Drosophila melanogaster: one gene and its partners. The protein of the gene in region 2 interacts with the protein of the main gene of each other region in a pairwise test. Each region holds a gene or a part of one and is shown on either strand. Other genes may lie near its edges.

What was found.
Region 1: the proteins of Cyt-c-p (region 2) and CG10527 interact in a two-hybrid assay, tested with the Drosophila melanogaster proteins (one large-scale study listed by BioGRID).
Region 3: the proteins of Cyt-c-p (region 2) and CG9014 interact in a two-hybrid assay, tested with the Drosophila melanogaster proteins (one large-scale study listed by BioGRID).
Region 4: the proteins of Cyt-c-p (region 2) and s-cup interact in a two-hybrid assay, tested with the Drosophila melanogaster proteins (one large-scale study listed by BioGRID).

What each region holds. Positions count from the first base shown.
Region 1 is NT_033778.4:21,069,827-21,074,599, reverse strand, and holds CG10527 (uncharacterized protein), read left to right. Parts: upstream 1-1,810; 5' UTR 1,811-1,865; coding exon 1,866-1,875; intron 1,876-2,704; exon of another isoform or gene 2,705-2,796; coding exon 2,797-3,198; exon of another isoform or gene 3,199-3,539; coding exon 3,540-4,018; 3' UTR 4,019-4,232; downstream 4,233-4,773.
Region 2 is NT_033779.5:16,717,991-16,723,168, forward strand, and holds Cyt-c-p (cytochrome c proximal), read left to right. Parts: upstream 1-1,941; 5' UTR 1,942-1,986; intron 1,987-4,018; 5' UTR 4,019-4,059; coding exon 4,060-4,386; 3' UTR 4,387-4,654; downstream 4,655-5,178. Other genes in the region: Cyt-c-d (cytochrome c distal), read left to right, coding at 1,145-1,462. UniProt on the Drosophila melanogaster protein: Electron carrier protein. The oxidized form of the cytochrome c heme group can accept an electron from the heme group of the cytochrome c1 subunit of cytochrome reductase.
Region 3 is NT_033779.5:13,721,639-13,725,396, forward strand, and holds CG9014 (uncharacterized protein), read right to left. Parts: upstream 2,005-3,758; 5' UTR 1,894-2,004; intron 1,847-1,893; exon of another isoform or gene 1,838-1,846; 5' UTR 1,800-1,837; coding exon 1,431-1,799; intron 1,373-1,430; coding exon 755-1,372; 3' UTR 523-754; downstream 1-522.
Region 4 is NT_033778.4:12,493,932-12,501,679, reverse strand, and holds s-cup (stanley-cup), read right to left. Parts: upstream 6,009-7,748; 5' UTR 5,843-6,008; coding exon 5,481-5,842; intron 3,403-5,480; coding exon 3,252-3,402; intron 1,726-3,251; coding exon 628-1,725; 3' UTR 221-627; downstream 1-220.

The DNA of each region.
Region 1 (4,773 bases), on a different chromosome or scaffold from region 2:
CTGTTGAAAAGTTATCTGAAAGATTAGATATAAATGATGAAATATTTTGACGGCATGCGTTTTATACTTATTAAGGTTAAACTTCAGACGCCTGACTCATAACAAACGAAACAAAGAACAAACTACAACAATGTTTCGCCTAGAGCCTTTAAAAATATTTAAGAAGCCATTTTCCATGCTTCTACTGAACTGACCCAAACAACACGAGTGTAACCTCTTTGTAAAATGATCTAGTACTACGCCACAGTTAAGAACAAATTAAGTCCTTTCCTGAGCAGTGCATTGTTTGTTTACTCGTCTGTCGTCGTGCACAGTATGTGTGTATGTATGTTTATATATTTTTGGCTGTGTGTTCAGCTGTCTCCGTTATAAATACACCAAGTTGCACGGCGTGAGCAATTGATCTACTCTTATCACAAGACAATTTGGCACGGCCACCGGCAGCTGGGAACACAAATAACAATTTGTTTATTTTAGACAATATTACTTCGTGGGGATTTCTGCGCATGCACGTTGTTTCGATATAAATGTAAAAAAAAGTGCGACCAACCGGCGAGACGAAAGAAAACCGACTGACATTGAGAGGCCAAGAAATAAGCAGTGGTGACGTAAAGAAAGATAATCCCGCTTCCGTCACAGGACGGATAAAAAAGCATGGTAAAAAAAAACAGTCTTACCATTTGGCACTCAATTAGAGGGTGACCCCAAAAGTATGCTACCATATGCTGCAACTATACTTTTTTAAATCTACTTCGGCAGCGCAATAAATAAATGATGACCCAATGGGTAATCTTATTATTATTGTTGTCTAGAGTCTAGCACATTATGTCAGCATCAACCATTTTGGACCCTTGCGGTGAAATCATTGACAGTAGCTTTTGATGCCCTGGTTTGGATATCCATGTGACCGCACAATATAAAAGCGGCACATGACGCCAAAATAAGTGACGACACTACTAACGGCAAACGAAGGCGAAACACAAGTTGATCGAATAGAATGTACCCTAGCTGAAATGAAAGTTAATCATATATTTTAGAAGCATTGGAACATCATAGAGTATAGAAGTAAGTCTCTTATACTCAAGAAATTCATTATTTTAAGATCAACCAATTCTTTTAACCAATTTATAGCTCATTATTTAATAGATTTTTTTAGGGCCTTCCTTTTTTGGAATAGGTCACATCATTAAGTGCCTTGCATACTAATTGTACACCTTGCATACAGTAGTAAATAGTAAATATTTATTCGCATAGCGATATGAAAATTATCATGCCCATAGAAAAAGCATTTTAGCAATAAAAGCTTGCTTATGGTTCTGATGACTAAGCAGCAGCTTTTGCCAACCTGAGTCATAGACCTCTTAAGCAAAACTAGGTGACAAAACTACCTTAGTTATACCGAAGCTTACATGCCCTTACCACGAGGTGAAAGTCCAGGGAACAAAAAGTTAAAAAGGAAATTACAATTATCTAATATTGTGCCCATGTACAAAATAGTTATATGTACATTTGTAAGTAAAGAAATTTTTTTTAAAGCTATGCCATTATGCTAGAAATTATCAGCCTTTAATTAAGATTTACATTTAAGAAAAATAATTGCCTTTAAAATAATTAAAGATAAGCCTTAGCATGTGCAGTATACCGCTATGTGAATAAGTTAGCTATTCGAGCTGGTACAGTTCGAATACTTTCTATATGGCCAACGATCTCCCACTTTGCAAGTGAGAGCGCCAAAGCTCTTGGAGCTTTTACTCTCTCACCGTCTCGGTTTTTTAGCATTGCTTACCTCGCCGGCATTTGGGCTCCATTGGGGCAGTTTGAATCAGAATCTCAGTAAGCGAACATCGTTGATTGAAACAGCAATCATGCCAATCGGTGAGTTTCCCAGTGGGTGTGGGTGGAGTGCCCTGAGCAGTTGGATAATGGAATGGATAATTGGGTGAATTTAAAGATAGGGAAATGTGCGGCGGAATTTTTGGCCCACGACCAAAATAGCATTGTGTCGTCCAATTCCTAGAATCGAAACATCCCATTCTTTATCTATGCTGGGTTTTTACCAGTGAAAAATACAAGCGACTTTCACCTTGTGATCGTCCAGATTCAATTAACGGCAATATGCTATACATATTGGACTGCCTTTATTTGGCCTAATTTATGACCCATCGAATTGATTCTCGACCAAAGGTGTCCGAAATTGTTCACCATATGCGATGAGTCACTGGTCTTCGCCTTGAACTCCGACAATAATCAATAGGAATTCAGCAGGGTTGACCCTAGGGAGGTCAGACGAAAGATGCACCTCCAATGATGTCATGCGAAATAATGCTGCTTGAGAAACCATTCGTGTAATCTATTCAAAGTGAATAGCACAAACCTCGCATATATCTGGGCAAATGTTTGTCGCTCGAGTGGCAGTAGAGCCGGCTCAGAGCTCAAAACTCGAAATTAAGCTTGAGTGGAATTAGCTAGAACAATTTGTTGCGAAGAACTGATGGCGATCTAAATGACATCATGCGAATGGTGCTAATAAGCAAGCGAAAACAAAAACAGACGCTAAACATGCTGATATATGTATGTTTATATGTACGTAGAAACCTAACAAACATAAAAATAGCTACGAATTCTTTCCAGTTCAAGTATTTTTTATGACAACATTCTCATGTTTGAGGTTGTTAATTCAAACCTCAAAACTTTCCCACCTTTCAAAGTAGTAGTGGGTACAGTTGGCTCAGAAAAACGTAGCCGAGTGTACAGTTGCCTCTGAGAATTTGTACTAATATGCCATCTCATTTGCAGAAGTCAACACCCCCGATAAGTTGGAGTACCAATTCTTCCCCGCCAGCGGTGGAGTTTTTACCTTCAAGGTGCGTTCCCCCAAGGATGCTCATTTGGCACTCACACCCGCGCCCGAGGAGAACGGTCCCATTTTCGAGATCTTTCTGGGAGGATGGGAGAACACCAAGTCGGTGATCCGCAAGGACCGCCAGAAGCCCGAAGTCGCTGAGGTGCCCACTCCGGGCATCCTAGATGCCGGAGAGTTCCGTGGCTTCTGGGTGCGCTGGTACGACAATGTCATCACCGTTGGCCGCGAAGGAGACGCCGCCGCCTTCCTTTCCTACGATGCTGGTAGCCTGTTCCCGGTCAACTTCGTCGGCATCTGCACGGGATGGGGTGCCAGCGGCACCTGGCTGATTGATGGTGAGTTTACACTCTGTTCCACGCCTTTTCTATCAAACGGAAAGCACAGGTGTTTACCCTCTCTGATTAGTTTACCCATCGTAATGATCTAAGTTAGCTATTGTTCTACAGCTGCTCAATGGCATCTATTGTCTAGTCAGCTGCTTCAGTTTGAATATCGAGTATTACTATACCCGCTACTCGTAGAGTTGGTACTATTGAGTACTGATCAATAACACTTAATTGCTCTCCAAGACTATATCCTTGCTATAAATATGTATTTGCCTATTATATATACATATATGTATAAGATTTGCTAATGATTTCATGAATTTCTAACAAATGCCACTATTTCCTTGCAGAGCCCGCTCCATCGGCTCCCGTCATGGGCTTCGCCGCGCCCACAGGAAGCGGACCAGGATGCTGGGTGCCCGCCGCCAACGGTGAGGTGCCACCCAACGCCCTCGAGGGAGGATTCGACAGCAGCGAGCAGCTGTACATCGCCCGTGCCCGCCATGAGGGCGACCTCATTCCCGGCAAGCTGCATCCCTCCCACGGAGTGACCTACGTAGCCTGGGGAGGTGGTGAGCACGGCCACGCCGAATACGAGGTGCTGTGCGCCGGCGGCGGCCAGTGGTTGCCCGTGGATGCCGGAAACATCCCGCCCAACGCCCTGCCTGCCGGAGAGACCGCCGAGGGCGAACCACTGTTCATCGGCCGTGCCACCCACGACGGAACTATCACTGTGGGCAAGGTGCAGCCCTCCCACGGATGCTGCTACATTCCGTACGGCGGCGAGGAGCTGGCCTACAAGGAGTTCGAAATCTATGTGACCAACTAAGCCACGGATCGAATGTCCAACGCACTGAAACAAAACGTTTTAAATCAGTTAATCTGAGCGCTTTACAGTTCAACTGGTCGCAGAAATTTTATTTTATTTATATGTGCATTTCTACTCAAAACTGTTAAAGAATCTCTATATTATGTCGAAAAGTTTATTACATTGTTCAACGAAATTGGTTAATAAACAATAAATATGTTTAAGAAAATAACATATCTGAAATAGGCACTTATTTGCATTCATTAAGCTTGGAAATAAATATAAAATAAGCTGAATAGCTGCTTTAATTTTTCAAAAAAGTGGTGTGTTAAGATTAGTTGGATTTTGGTTTTAGTGAATCTAACAGTTCTATCGCAATCATTAATCACCTTTTAATCCATTTGTACTCAATGAAATTAGTATCAAACATTCTTTTTTTTTAATAAAATCATGACTGAAATGAAATGACTGAAATCTATAGATTAGTTTAAGCAGGCAATTGAAAATAATTTACTCCCACTCAATGAAAATCTATTCCTAATCTCATTATCAGTGAACCCATAAAACACTCATACAAAGTTAGTTGAAATGTTGGCAGTACAAGGAACATATTGCTATATATATATATATTTATACCAAAACATGTTTTCTTTTATTCATTTTTAAAATGAATGAAACATATCATATTGGCCTATTTACATTTAAATTAAGGGTATAACTGAGTCGGTTTAGTCTATCAACTATATTAAAGTCAGTAACCAGCATGTGAAGTTTTT
Region 2 (5,178 bases):
TAATTTCTTGCACCATTTATTTATAGTGGTCCGGCAAAAGAACTCGGGCCAACAGGCAGGATAGTTTAGCCTGCGGGTAAATTATGGTTCCATTGCCAATTAGGTTAGGTCACAACCAGGATGTCCCATTGGGGATATATGTATGTATGTATGTAGATGGATGCACAGGGAGTACACCTAATACCAGTGCAGGGCTGCCAGGAAAATGTCATTGTTTGGATTTAGAATGTGACATTTACATACGTACGTAATATAAATATATAAATAATATCATTCTCTGAAAAATATCATAATGCACTCTTGTAAATTTAAAACAAATTTAATTTTAAGATAATTGGTTGAGATAAACATAGTTAATATTTTCAATTGATCCTTTAAATTTTAAATTGCAGGTGAATATCATCCCTGTGTGACCGTTGTATGCGGCATGGTTCCATGTCTCTTTCCCGTTATTCATTTCCCTCTGCTTTGTTTTTTTTTTTTTTGGTTTTGTTATGCGGTGGCATCTGTTTTTGCCACAGGAAAATGGTTGAGAGAGGGGAAGGCAGGGGGCGAAAGCGGAGAGTGCGTAAAATGCGTTTTAATTGAAAGGAAATGTTCAAAGCACATGTGCATCTGCTAGTCAACGAATTGGTTGGGAAAGGGGGTGGCAAGCCGAATGTGTCTGCTAATTGAATTACCTTTCGGTTGCTTTTCCCATTAGAAGTGCCGACAAGTTCTCGAGCTGCTTGTTTGCTTTTCATTTAATACCCATTTTGATTTAATTTTCGTTTTTCCTATTTTTCTGACCCAATTTTGTTTTGCTTTCGTGCATTAGCAGCTGTCTCTGTCTATCGCTGTGCAGCCAAGAGAGTGACCAAGAGAAACGCTCTCTCTCTCTCTCTCAGTTGTCCAGGACTTGCACTTTTCAAACGGTTTTTTAGGACACTGAAACAAATTGAATCTGTTTTTCTTTTCTATCAAATTTTTAGTTCTACACTTTTCTTTTTCATGATAGTTTCGGAATCAACCAATTTCTATTTGATCCAAATTAACAAAAAACAAATAACAAAAAATTAAAAAATATAGAAATAAAAGCTGCATAAAAAGTTGAATTCTAAATCATAAATATCATTTTTCCCTATTTGTCTTTCAGGCTTCCAAGATGGGTTCTGGTGATGCAGAGAACGGCAAGAAGATATTTGTGCAGAAGTGCGCCCAGTGCCACACCTACGAAGTGGGCGGCAAACACAAGGTGGGCCCAAATCTTGGCGGGGTCGTGGGTCGCAAGTGTGGCACAGCAGCGGGATACAAGTATACCGATGCCAATATAAAGAAGGGCGTTACCTGGACAGAGGGGAATTTGGACGAGTACCTCAAGGACCCGAAGAAATACATTCCCGGAACAAAGATGGTGTTCGCAGGTCTTAAAAAGGCTGAGGAGCGGGCCGATTTGATTGCCTTCCTCAAGTCAAACAAGTAGAATCGCCTGCGAAACAACAAGATCGGCCACCATGCTATCCAGAAAACTGCGCTTAAAGACTACAAACATATTCAAAAGATGACGTATTTCACTTGGATTTCGAAACTTTGATTGGGAATGGTCGAGCTCAAATACATTTCAAAAAGGTTTACTTTCACTTTAGCCAATTAAAGTTGATAAACCAAAAACCCTCTTCTTAATTCAAGTTGTGTGCGACGCGGGTGGAGGAAAGTGTTGTACCAATCAGCTTTGGTCACAGTTGGTTTTATGGTCCTACTAGCAAAATGTAATAAATTGGAGAAGCTTGTTAAATAATGCAAATTTTCCAGAGGCTTTCCAATATAGTCCCGTTAATAGGGGAAAAAATTACTTATACGCCGTGTGGTGGATAAATACGGGTACAAAAGCTTGCGACATTTTTTAATGCGTGGCCCCCGGTCACTCTGGTCACACTAATTACCTATCGACATAACGCGCGCTCGTCATTCGTGAAAAATCGGCGACGCTCGACGTTTGTGTTCAATGTAAGTAGTGGGTGGAATTTTTGTATTTTCAAGTGACGTAAATATTACCTTGAATAGTTATTGATTATCAAGCCCCAAGTCAGATAAAGATTAGAAACACTTCCGTGTCATTTACGTAACATCCAGCAGCTGTGTTTTGTTCTGAAAATGATTCGCATGCAAATTTAACGTATTCTTTGGGGGATGATTCAGGTTACATAAACGTGTCCTTGTGTGTGTGTGTATAAGTGTGATTTTTTATTAGATATTTAATAGTTTATTTAGCAAATATTAGCAGTGGTGTATTAATAGTAAAAATAGCATCCCAAAGTCACATTGCCATTGAAAAAAGCCCCGGAGAGAGTCGATTACATGAGCAAAGAGAGTGGCGTACCCGATCATCAGCTGTCTCGCTCGCTCAGTGGCAAAAATTAATTCTTGGATTTTTTGTCAATGCTTCAGCTTTGGAGTCTTTAAGCGCGCCACGTGGTTGCTAAGCAGGTTTTGCTTTCTGCGATGTGCAGTTTTCTATAATATAAATAAAAGAGAATTCACCTCTGCGAAAAGGCGGCTTATGTAACATTCGCTGCTCTCAGGAAACTTGGATGTTGGCCCAATTTTCACTCATCTCTTTGTTCTCACCACCTTGCTCACCCACACAAGGAAAAACACAGCTGCCTTTGGCCTGCTTCCAATTTTCCAATTGCACTTTCCCTTCATCTCACGCACACTCACGCACGGCAATTAACTGAAAAATACTCAACAAGGCCAAATCGGATGTTGACATTGTTGTTGCTTTGCCACCTCTCACTGCCAAAGTGCATGATACTCTACACAGAAAGAAGTGAAAAAAAGGTTGATATTAAATGCAAATTATGTGTAAAAGCGCACAAAATCAATAGTCTATATATATTAGGTTTGTTTTTATAGACAAATGCATATAAAATAAAATTAGTTTTCTAGAATTGAAAGAGCTTCAGCTAATCGAATTTCTCTCAGTCTATGTGCGTGATGTGTAGGTGAATTACTCACCGCAACGGTACTTTGCACTCTCAAGTTCAAATTGCTGCATGCAATTTATAATCCGGCAATTAGCAGGATGACCGTAACACAGACCCTGGAATAATAGAATAGTTATGTAAACAACTAACGTTTTTCGTATTATGATGCTTCCTGGAAGTTTTCCGCCTGTTGCTGAGCAGTTCTGACGCAATTAATCGGCGACTGGCAAATATAAGCGAGTGAGACACAAAGAGAGTGTGAGAAGGAGAGAAAGAGTGTGGGGGCAACATGTGACCAGCGTCTGAAGCTTTTTCAAAGTGTGTTTCTGATGACGTTGCGACGCCCTCCACGCGCGTATTAGTGAGAGCAAAGTATGTGGGTTAAAAAGGGGGTGGCCGCAAATGGAAATGCAGACTACGTTAGATAATAATTTCGGGCCTTATCAGAAACAACAGCCGACTAATGCACTTAGCATGAGCAATTTTAATAATTCCGTTTCCGCAGGGAGCTTATCAATTGTTTACATAACGGGGCAAGGGGACAAATATTAATTCACGGTCCATAACTACCTACATTAACCCATTATTTCCCAAGCATGGAAATTTTTGATGATATAAAGACGTTATTATTTTAATACCTTAAAAATATATAATATTATATAAGTAACGTTGGGAAATCAACTGGTTAATAAATTTTAAATTTCGGGTTTATTTATTCAATAATCTTTTGATAATGTATGGCTGAAAGTGAAGCTTTTATCAGTATCTACACAATGGTTCATTGGGGCTAATAATAAATGGTATCAAATATCGTATAACTATTTTTTGCAGTGAAACCAGAATTTCGGACTAAGTACATAAGCAAATGATATAAAATATATATTGTAATCAATTTATCAGAATAGAACAAATTAATTGGTAGCAGTTATGAACTTTGAACCATTTAGTAGCCAGTTTTTTAAGTTTTTCAAACCTAAGATGTAAGATAACAGATATATTGGTTACCCTTGTTTTATGAACCACTCATTAATAACAAACATTTCTTTTTACAGTCGAGTCCGTGTTAACACATTAATTAACCACATAATCCATAATGGGCGTTCCTGCTGGTGATGTTGAGAAGGGAAAGAAGCTGTTCGTGCAGCGCTGCGCCCAGTGCCACACCGTTGAGGCTGGTGGCAAGCACAAGGTTGGACCCAATCTGCATGGTCTGATCGGTCGCAAGACCGGACAGGCGGCCGGATTCGCGTACACGGACGCCAACAAGGCCAAGGGCATCACCTGGAACGAGGACACCCTGTTCGAGTACCTGGAGAACCCCAAGAAGTACATCCCCGGCACCAAGATGATCTTCGCCGGTCTGAAGAAGCCCAACGAGCGCGGCGATCTGATCGCCTACCTGAAGTCGGCGACCAAGTAATGGTGCTGTCCATCAACTTACCCACAACCACTGCAGGATGTCAAACTGTATTATTGTGTTCAGTCACAGTCCGGCACGCAAATGCAGCAGCAGCAACAACTACAACTACAAATCAACATAGTACAGACCTAAAGAACTACAATTATGTTAATTATAAAGTTTAAATAGGACAATTTATTATTTAATTTAAATAAAAAGTGGAATATTTAATTCAAACCCGATGAGAATTGTGACATCCACAAAAAAGTTAAATAATAAAAAAAGAACTAAAAAATGATATAAAATCTGTTTTATGCGAGGACCTGGTTTTTGTAGCTCGCAGGTCAAAAAGAATAAAAAAAGCTTCTTCAGATTTTTGACTCGGGCAACTCAAATTAAAAATAAGAGATACCAATCATATTTATAAAACAATTGTCCTGGCAATTTCTATCAATAGGTATCTGTTAGTCGTCAAACTCGACTGCAGCATACTCTTTGCGTCTGTCAAAAATGTTGTTGGCTGATCTATATAGGCCTTACTCATCTGAGTCGCACAAAGATGACCACAAATCATCCTGGGTTGCTGCAAATTCCTTAGTTCATTGCGTGGAGGTAGACATCACTAAAAACATCCAACAAAGAAAGAGTCGATACGTTACGCAGAAACATCACAATAAGATTGTATTACTGAGAGAGAAAGTAGAAAACTATTAGGGTCGAAATGCTCTCTTAATGCACATTCTATTTGGCCAATCGTTAAACAAGAATACACTGGTATTTTTATATTTTTTGGCTAATTTATGTATATTTTCT
Region 3 (3,758 bases), 3.0 Mb from region 2:
TGCAGTCCATTAATTTTCATTTGATCAGAGATCTCGTTTTCAATTGCAGGCTAAAATCGTAATGGTCCCGAAAATTTATCTCAGCTGGGAAATTAAATTTTGTACAATTTGTAAAACTTTTCCAAATGGTGTCGCCAACTGCCGCGAACCGAGCACAGCCAAACTTTTACCATTTCCATTATAAGTTTTACTTGATGCACCCACCGCAAGCCCAACCAACCGCCCACCCACAGAAGGAGCAACCTCAATCCCAGCTTATGCGTTTATTTAATTTCGCTCCAACATTACGCATACGCCCGAGTGTTCACTGAGCTTCTATAATTGCCGCGTAATTGCCGAGAAGAATATCTGTCAGCTACAACGACAACTTTAAACTGTGAGTGTTGCTGCACTGAACCAATCGATGAGGGAAGTTTAACAAAACCTTAAAAATTTCAAAATTACATACGTTTCATAAAAACTCTTCGATAGTATTGGGAGCCCTCAGATTATTCATAAGGTCCGACATTAAAAAATAACACGACCATTTGTTTGTTTTCTATTTACGTAACTCGAATTGATAAAACATATTTATATTTTTCATTTTGACGACTTTTGAAGTACGATCGTGTAATTTAAGACAGTGAAGCAACATGACCATCATTCCAAAACAAAGGACGTGGAAAACGGGCAGCCAGTTGCGCTTTTGTGTTGTGTTACCAAAATGAATTTAGATGTGGAGGATACAAGCAGGATGTGGTGACCCATCATTGGCTTAAATAATCTCTTCGCCAAATATTACCTCATTCACACCGTCGACGAAGATCATGACCAGTCCGAGGATGGGGCGCAGATTCTCCGGCATGTGGGTGTTTTCGCCGCCCAGAACAACCACGCACGGTTTGCCAATGACCAGACCGGGCACCAATCGGGTGACATACCGACTCATGAGATGTTGGTTCTCGCGGCGATCGTCCAACGTCATCAGACCTTCGGGCCAGCGATCCTCGTGGCAACGTTCAACCAGCATATTGAGCATATGCATCGGACAGCCGCTTTCACGCAAAACGTCGCGCACCATCAGGTGCATGGGATTGTCCGGCGTGGAGATCAGACTGCCCCACGTATGGATGTTGGCCAGAGGGAGTCCATGGCCCCACTGCATCAGTGAGAAGCGGTCCAGTTGTTCGCCAATGTTGCGCAGCATGGGATTGGTCGATCGCAGTGCTGCGATATAGTACTGGAACAGCTCCATCTCTCGGCGCTGGCTGGAGCTCTGCTCCTCCATATCGGATTGCTTCTGCTTCAGATCGGAAACCTCCTTCGCCAGTTTCTCCACCAGCTCGCGCAGTTCGAACACACAGTTGTGGCGCGACATCTCGTCCTTGGGTACCTTTAGCGGGAATATTATAGCTATCTTAAGCAGTTCAAGTTATTCCCAGAATGTTCACCTTCATTCCGCACCCCTTGCTGCACTCGACAACCACCTTGGGATTATGCTCGCAGGCGGCGACATGGGTCCGGAACTCCTCGAGGGCCAGCATTTGGGCACAACCGCTTTGCGAGAAGGTGCACTTGATCTTTAGGCGGGATAGCATGTTGCGCATTAGGCGCGAAACGGGCACCAGATGTGAGGTCAGTAGCCCGGAGCGGTCCACCGGGCAAATCTGTTTCTGGATCATCCACTTGTCGATGCAGGCGCGACAGAAGGCGTGCTCGCATTCCGATGACTGGACCGGCTCCTCCAGGACATCTGTGCAAATTGGACAGATGAGCTCCTCGTCAACGTGGCCCACAATGCAGTTTAGATCAAAGCCCATGACGAAATGGTTTGATTTCTATACCGAAGTTTATGTCGCTGGAGAATCTGAGATGTTATTTTTTTTTGGCATGGAGCCACTCTCATCCACTTACCACTGAGTTCGATATGTACTTATACCTATATCCGAAACTCGATTTTTACAATATTTCGATCAAAAAGTTAGTTTTTACGTCGGCGCTGAGTTGTGTCCGAGCTGGCATCTGATTAAAAGCCAACTATGTGTATAGTTATGCATAGTTATATAAATAGTATATATAGTTTATTTTTGTAAATAAAAATCCTTTTCTTAAGCTAAGAAATACTAGGCCTTTCGATCATCTGTTATGCAAACAGCTCTCATTGAGCCTTCTACCATTTAGGACACTTCAATTTCAATTCAAGCGCAACTGAAACCAGCCAAACAACCAACAGAACACTGGGAGTCATCCATCCAAGTGGGCCAAGAGCAAGTGGGGTGGGGGCGAATGGGTCTGAGAAAACGTTTTCTTGAGGCACTTGCATATAGTGCGGTCGTAAAACCCTTTGCATATTTATAGTCCCAACTGCTGCGGAAGTTATGCAAATTGGAAAACTTATGGTACGACAACCCGGAATAATGCCAAACGTCCAGCCAACCTTCGGCGACCACGTTTTAACTTAGCCTGCACAGAGAAGCGATGCGAAGCGAAGCGAGGAGTTGAATTTTATTTATAAAGTGAAATTTTAACAAATTAACAGCAAATGCTGGGACATGGGCAAACAAATAAACTTTCCATCTTCAGCTCCACAATGGCCGAATTTCGAACAAACACTCATCAGACGACACACAGGCATGATTGTGACAACATATTGCCATGTCAAAATATTTACACTATATCAACTGCTCTATGCAAACTCGAATGTATATACATACGTGTGTATAATAGAATGGGCATTGTGTGACTGGAAATTCGGTTTTTAATTTCACTTGGAAGCGTCATTCGCTTGGATATTAAATTTCATGTTTTGCCTAAGAATGACATTTGCTTTTGTGTGCCTTTTTGTGCATTTTGTTTGTGACAACTTTACTGCATCGAATCCTTTTCGTTGGATTGCAATTTCAGTCTAGTGCTACCAAATGCTTATCTCCGAATGCAACTGTCAGTCTGACATTTTAGTTTACTTTAAATTCCTGCTCAAGCCTTTTCAGTTTGCCATAATATTCAAGACTCATTCTTTCATTTCGTTTTTATCTTGAAAAACAGTAATCGAAATGCTTGAATTGATGAGTTGAATAAATCACAATTGATATGCGATTCCCCACTCCGGCTGGTGTGAAATATTCTTTAATAAATCGCATTTTGTGCAAAATAATTAAGTCCGTGTGGGGTGTGGTGTTCGTTTTATCAATCCATTGGCTTTGCGACGTTCAATAGCAATATTTCACATTTCTGAGCTGATGGAGCGCATTAGAAAATAATCAACAATTTTCATTTGACTTGGCTCCGATAAAACCCATCATCCAGCAAACACAAAACGAACCACTCAAGCAGGAAAATTTAATAAGTTTGTACGTAAGCATATACACAGCTCGCCACAAAAATGTTTTTCCAACTGATCTGACCGCATTTGTGAAAATCAGCATTGATGATTCGAAGGCTCCTAGAGGATGCACACACTCTGATGAAAGATTTGGATAATAGCTTATGATGTTTTATATATTATAGAAGTGCCTTTTTTTTTGTTAATAAAATATATATGTACATTTGAGTGCTGTTTTTTTTAAGTGCAAGAAGATCATGTTTGGTTTTTCCGAGTGTATTTATGTACGAAACCCAACTAATAAGGTTAGCAACGTGTAAACAGTCATTACGTGAGTGGCTCTGTGTTAGCATGTAACGAGCCACAAATGCTTGCCACACAATGTTTATTTGCATTTATATTTGCTGTTCTTGCGCCGTTGTCATTTCATTGCAACATCAGTACGTGCCTCATTGTC
Region 4 (7,748 bases), on a different chromosome or scaffold from region 2:
TGCTGTTTTCTTGCCGCTTGTTAGACGTTGGCTTTGGCGATTTGTTTGCATGCCATTTCTTGCTCTGCTTTCGTTTTTTATCATCCCGCCTGCGTTTCCCGCCTCCGTTTTTAATGCAAAATCAATCGGATTGCGCCCAGCCGAGCATTCTAAACTAAAAACTGTTCGCGTGGAATAAGGCGAAGGTTGCGGATTGAGGTTGCTTATTAAACCGCTTGTTGCGTTCAATTACAATTTTTGATTTTATTGATACGAGTACTTGACACGAACATTTACAGGGATATGCACTGGCTTAGCTCTAAAACATTTAAACGTTAAAATTATTGTTATCCGTTTTGCTTAAAATGTTATTTTCTCTGTACTGAGAGCGTGATATTTTTGTCAACCTTTTTAACTCAAAAACACCTAAAGTAAGTGTGCTTTTCATAGCATATCAAAGAAAGATTCTAGCCATCTTTTTAGGTGGTTGAGATTCAATGAAATAACTGAAAACTAAACTAGTTTCTTATTCTGCAGTAATAACACATGAATTCACCAATCTCAACCTATCTTAATCATAGTTAAAGCACGATTGTGGTTTAGGTTTCGGTTTGCAGCCATACAACTAATGTGAACTGCTTGTTAGGCTCACACATAACCACTGGACTCCAGTTTGATGGCACCCTCGTATGTGGGCAGCCCCGATCTATCGATGATTTTGCTCATGTCCAGGCTGATGATTCCATTCTCGTTGATGTTGTCCAAGTTCTGCTCCTCTTGCTCCTTCTGCTGGCCTGTGGCCAGCTCATCCTCCCCCGATTGCCCGTGGGATGTTGCTGGTGCGTCGGAAGTTGATGGTGTGTCCGATGTTGCTGCGTTGTCGTTTTCATCGTTGGCAGCAGTTATGGAAAAGAGCACGGCATCATTTTGAGGTTGCTCATCGAGAGTGGCGGCCAGAAAATTGCCGTTGGCCTCATCCTGCAGATCGTCACCAGAAATGTGGTTGCCATTGCCATTGTCGATGTCGCTGGGGCAGGGGCAGATAGACGGCTCATCCTCCTCCCTGCGCCCGCCCATGTTCAGACCGCTCTCCACGGACAGAGCGGTCAGTGGTTCATCATCGACCTCACCTTCATAGCGGAACTTGCCGCACAGCGGACAGCCACGCCGGTAGTGGTTTGCACTATGCTGATGGCTTTGCTGCAGGTACCGCCGTCCGAAGGTGTTCAATCTGACATTCTGTGCCGGCTTACGTACCTGCAGCGTCTCCATTTCCAGGCAATTTCCGTTCCGGGCAGCCACCGCCGCCGCAGCAGCATTCCACATGCTTTCCACCTCGGCCCGCTGCAGCGAGCAGCAGGATTGGGCATTTAGGGCCAGTTGCAACTGCTTGTTGACCAGCAGGCCATTGGAACCTCCTGGTGCGCACTGCACACTGCCACTGGCCACCGCATCCACACTGCCATCTGGTGTGCCGCGACCGAAGCTCGTTGCCGGCTGGCCGCTGATGTCCAACGAGGATCGGTATCCTGGCGGCGGCGAGACGCGTTGCATCAGCAGCTGTTGCTGTTGCTGCAGTTGCAGCTGTAATTGCTGTTGCTGCTGTTGCTCCAGCTGCTGCTGGTGGAGCTGCTGTTCGTGCAGCACCACTGCATCGTACGAGGGCGGTGGTTCGTGGTGCAAGGCGGGCACGGCGGACAGACCATCAGTGGAGTCGCCTAGGAACAGGCCAGAAGTCTCGTAGCACTGAGGGATTAAACGAACAATTAAAATCGATTAGCAGGAGGATAAAAGAGGAATTTGCAAAGATTGTAAGGTTTGATTTTCTAAAAGCAATGTAATTTTTCCCTGATGTGGAGCTGGTATATAACTCTCAAGGTCGTGACTAATTGCCGATCTCCGCTTGGTCGCTCTGTAAATTACTTTCTTAATGGAGACGCGGTGGACAAGTGAAATTTACGCGATCAAATAAAAAGTTTAAATTGCACACATCATAAATTTATTTGTCTCTGCCGCGCAATCTGCAATCCCATTCTCATTCCTATTGCCACTCCCATGCTCCCGTGCTAGAAACCCGCCTTCTTCTGTCCGCAGTTGACATCTGTGCCTGGCCAGACTAACGTTGATTTACGTGGAGCCTTTTGCCGCCACTTTCCCCCCACCCCCCTTTCCCAGCGGGCCAACAAACAACAATGAACTGAATGATGGCCTATGGTGGGGCTGGTGGGTGGTTGGATGGTTGTTTGGTTGGTTTGCGGGTTGGTCGGTGGATTGTGGGCCGAATGGGAAGGCGGCTCGTAACCTAATAAAGAGCACGGCCAAGTGAGTGCGACTTCTGGGCCACTTGCACTGGCTTGGCTGGCTGTATGGCCAGCCGCAATTGTCGCGCCCTTTTGGTCAACTGAACCCACTTTCCCCCGGATGTGGCACCTGTTAAATGCGGCGCATAAATATCCATTACACTCCTGCTGCTCCATCCTCTCCCGCACTTTCAGTTTTCGACTTACTTTCAAACTGTCGCCACGAAATGTTGGCTTACACTTGAAAAGGGACAATTATGGCCGGATTGTGTGTTGTTCTAGCGCCCAAATGCCTAAAACATCAGAATGGTGGATATTATTATTATTATTATTGTGATTTCGGCCACCAATTGGAAAACTGGGCTGATTTGATTGAAGCTGAAAGCTGAAATCGAAAAAACTAAATTGTTTGCTTGGAAAGTTTGTTGTGTAGTTTGCTTAATATCATATATGTATATATTTGCACTCTTTTCAGCCAGCACTTAAACTTAATAGTCGCTAATTGATTTTTAGCATTTGATCGCTTTGAAATTGTATTCGTATTGACAAAAGCAAATTGACAAGCCAATCACTGATAAATTGCCATTCATTTAGGTATTTAGCATGCTTTGAATCTGGTTAATGTAAGCCTAGGACTTGTATAACTTTATTTATTTAAGAGCCAGACTTACTCTCCCATTTTTCACACACGTTTGGAATGTGTGCTACTTATTTGAACCACCAAAGAGAAGTAAATAGCACATACTGCCATTACTGGATATGATTAATAAAATTCTGGTTTCCCCCGAATAAGCAATGATGTCCGTCGTCCACTTCCATTGTGGCCCAACTATCATCCACTTGGAATGCCGTTGACATCCGTTTGCAACTATGGCTGGGTGGACAACAAAGCTCTCTGCCAGAACCCCGGGCATCATGGACCATCTATGCATAGGCTTTGAGCATATACTCGTATTAGCTCCTCCAACTCACCTGCTCCACGCTGTATATTTCCATGTTGGGATCGCCCTCGAGCCACTGATGCTGCTGCTGCCTGTAGGCGGCCTCCGTTCGCTTTTTGATGTTGCGATGGCAACAATAGCAGACCACACACAATATAGTCGTCACCAGGGAAAGCATTGCTCTGCAACAAATTAAATCGAACGGGGATGTGAATGCAATGCTATTCATTGAATGTTATAATGTTATTCCAACGACGAAACAGACATCAGGCCAACATTCAAACATATTTATTTGCTTTGGCTGGTGACACGAAATTGATTGCGGGCCTTCGATAAATGACCAGTGCGATAATAACGTATTAATACGCATTCGGTATTTATTAATTTTGCCATACAAATTGCTAGTGCTTGTATGTTTATTTATATTGGGTTGGCTTTGCCAGCATTTTGATAGCATAAATTTGCCACGAAATATTGACATTTATACATCATGGTAGCGGAAATTACTCTTCTTGCCTTCTCGGTTTTAATTAGATAATGCAGTTTTGGCTTTTAATTCGACTCCCAACTCATCTTGCAGCCAAACAAAGGGCAATTTCAATGCTCGCAAGTATGAAATGTAGAGCATATTGCCAATTATCTCGATTTAACTAAGCTGCCACAAACACACACACACACACACACACATTTCAAATCGGCTTGGAGAATGTGTGTGTTAGCCTAATAATATTCCACATTTCGCCTTTTGTCTAAAGAGCTAATATTATGGATTTATCAAATTTTAATTGTCTGTCGTTAGGTGGCTTAGAATAGTCAGATTATGTCAAGTGCTTTTGTTTATTAAACAAACACAATATGCCTTGAAATTTGGTCAACAAATTCCCCATAGCTGGTATCAGTGAATTCGGAAAGGTGTAGCTCTATCTGTTCCTTAATTCGTCAATAAATCCGAAATGACCCCACCACTATCAACTGGATTGCCAGTTATCAAATTTTCCTTTTAGCGCTGTCGGCCAATTTATGTCGGTTTATTGAAACCCACTGGTTTATTTGGTCGGAAATGGTTTCGTGTCGTGTCGATTTCGTAGCTCCAGGCATTTCCATGACGTCACTTAATCCACTTTAGAATGCAACATTGTGTCCCACTTGTCTGTTCACTGTCTTCCACTGGCCCACGTACGTCCTCCGATTTTTCTCTCGCTCGTTTTTTTTGTTTTTTTTTTTTGGCTGTTCATTTTTCCCGGTTCACGCAATTTCTCGCATGTCAACAGTTCATTAGGGCCCTTTTTTTTGGGGGGCTCAGCTTTTCCGGCCTTCCCATTCCGCAGCGACGAAAACAGACAACAGCGATTTCCCCCACTCCGGTTTTTTATTTTAGCTATTTTCAATGAACTGCCCAAGACAATCGATAAAAAAGTAGTTAAAATAAATTTTTTTTTTGGCTTGTGTGGGTCGCGCGTGATGTTTGCAGACACTAAGAAAACCCCATAAAAGCGTGTTTACAAAACCTCTTTGTTGCTCTGCGGTTACTCCGAAAAAATAGAATAGCTCGTGTTGCACATGAAAGTTTTTTTTTTTTTTTACATTTTATTAACAAGCAAAGCCAGTGCTAGGATGCTAGGGTTTCGACGAAGCAAAACCGAAAGTAAAAAAATGCCCCGGCACAATTATAATTATGATTTTCAGCGCAGAAGAGCGGAAGCCTGACATCTTCTCTTGCTGTTGATGCTTATTAATTCGCAGCTCCTTCCCATAAATCAAGTGGTGCCAGGCATTATGATCTATGGTAGTATCTTGTAATATGCTTCTTGAGTGTTCTTACCAAAGGGGTACTTGCTGCAAACATTTCACTGGAATTTTCAAGATGCTCCTTGTTGTCGAACGAAAACTTAGTGGTTAGCTCTGATTATTGAATGGCAAACTAACTTGTGGCAGTAAACTATTAGCTGGAATGACAGCCACATTTCGTATGAATTATCTATATGAAATGATTGCGGTATCCTTTAAAAATACTGAAGAGAGCTTCTTTAAAATGTAAATACTTGAACAATTCCGCTCTCGTTAGCTGCGAAGCCAATTGTTTTGGGCGAACTTTCTTGGCAACTCTAATTAATTAATTGCCAAATGACTGAGGGGAATGCTCAGCTATTTGCCAAAACTTCCAGACACTCTTTCGCATTTCCCACGGGCCAAAAGGTGACTTAACTTATCGCTTGAACTTCGCATCAGTCGTATGTTCCAACTGGCAGGACAGACTTACCCGCCGAGCAGCAGATTCACATTGCCGTTGACAACATTTGCATATGTCTGGGGTCCACTAGGTCCTCCGCCGCCACCGACGCCCGAGATGACGGATCCGGAGCCACTGCGCTGCTGGTGATATTGCCCCAATCCGCCGGTGTAGTAGGTGGTGTGTGTGACAATCGAGGAGGAGGATGAGACATGCTCCTGGGACTGCAGCTGTTCCTCGCTGACGAAACTTCCAAACGCTGACGAAGATGATGATGGCGGCAATGGTGGTTCCGTTGTGGAAACCAGCGATATTGTTGTGGCCGGGATTGTGTGATTCTGATTCTGATTTTGACCAAAGGCCAGCAGAGTTGCATAACGTTTGAGAGACATTTCACTGCGAGTGGAAATCGAGCCACGGCGATTGCATAACGATTAGCGCGGCGCACTCATTACATGGCCATTAGCACGCACACTTCAGCCCCGAAGGAGGCGCATCTAGCCTGGCTAACAGCGAATACCTCGGCTCTAGACCGCAGCAAGGACGAAAGGCGACTGCCAGGAGCTAGCCCTCGCAAATCGACGAGCCGAAGGCTACGGCGACTTCAGCACGACAGCAGCACCGAGTCAAACATAAAACTTTGGACTAAAACTAACACAAACACTAAACGAAACACAAGTTTAATACTTTTTTATAAAAGTTTCCTTGACTTGTCATATGTTTAAATATTTATTTTCGAATTTCATACAAATTTATGGATTAAGTAAGTTTGAGGATATATTTCATTAATATCTTCTTAAAGTTTATTTATTTTCTTTTAATAGTTTTCACAGTTGAAATTAAATTTGCGTCACCTTTATCTATCATATGTTATTATTTATGTAGTATTATGTACATATATATATTATTTTAATGCACTATAATCATGAACTTGCAAAGAGGTTTGGAATTCGATACGATTTTTTCCTTTCTAAGGAATTAACACTTTTTCATAGCCACATTGTTTGCATAACTCAATGCATTTAAAACTTTAAGCCATTATAGCCTTTTTTTTTTCTGAGTGTAACTGGTAGAACGATCGATGGCCAAGGCAAGTCTATTTCCGTAACTCTTAGTTTTGGCCGCGAACCGCGAGTTGTGCGTCTGGGCAAATGCGTTGCGCTGCTGCAACTGAGCTCCGGCTTGACTTGCTGACTAGTTTACTGGCTGGCTGGCTGGTCGTCCTGTCCCGAGGACTTTGGCTTGGCTTATCCTTTTGTTGTGAACCCGACGAAGTTGCCTTGGCAACCGAACGGGCCAGCCTTCGGCTTGGACTCAGCACTTCGGCTGTTTAGCTGCTGATGTCTGTGGTTACTTCTGCTCGCTGCTGCTCGCCTGTTCCACGTTGCGTTGCCCATTTTTCTGTGGCTTTCCCTCTCCGGTTTTTCGGGTTTGGGGTGTTCGGTCCGCCGGCACTGGTGGGTGGCAAAAGGATATGTCGACGACAAAGGACAGGCAGAGCTATTTGTATTGAGTTTCCCCGTACCCAAGTTCTCCTTCGGTTTCCACACGTTTCACGTCAAATTGAGCGCCAAATGCTTTTGTATGCCCGTATGGTTTGTCATTATTGCTGCTGCTGCTGCTGCTGTTGTTGTGGCAACCGTGCATGCCATTTGAACAACACTTGTCGCCAACTGACATTTTTCACGGCATGCGGCCATAAATAATAATGCGACTCAGAAGCAACAGTCCATGCCGCGCATATTGAGCATGCAACATGCTGCTTCGCGGCACACGCTGCGTATGCGTGATGCAGCAAAAAAAAAAAAATGCAAGCCACTTATGTTGCCGAAGGGAATTCAACTGTTGCATTTATATGCACTTTTAAGAAACGAATTGGTTGAGAAATGTTAAGATATGGGTTAAGAAGTGTGTATCATTAAATGTAAAAATTCTACGTTTAGTAGAATCTTAAAGATAAAGGTGAACGCATGAATGCCACTTAGCATAATATATCGTTGAAAACACAATGCAACCACAATCGTTCTTGATGTGCCCCATATATTAGACATCTCACCATATGCAAACAGCTCGCCAAAAATCCGCCACAATATTGTTGCTAAATGTTGAACCAATTTCCGCATAAATGCCTATGAAATGTATAACATTTGCATATCGGCCACATTTTAAAGCAACCGAATGCAATCATCATCATAATTGCCAGCCGTTAGCAGCTAATTGAAATGCACGAATTATTTTGGCAAATTTACTTTTAATTTATGGCGCACTCGCATCGTGCAAACATTCAAATGTACGCGG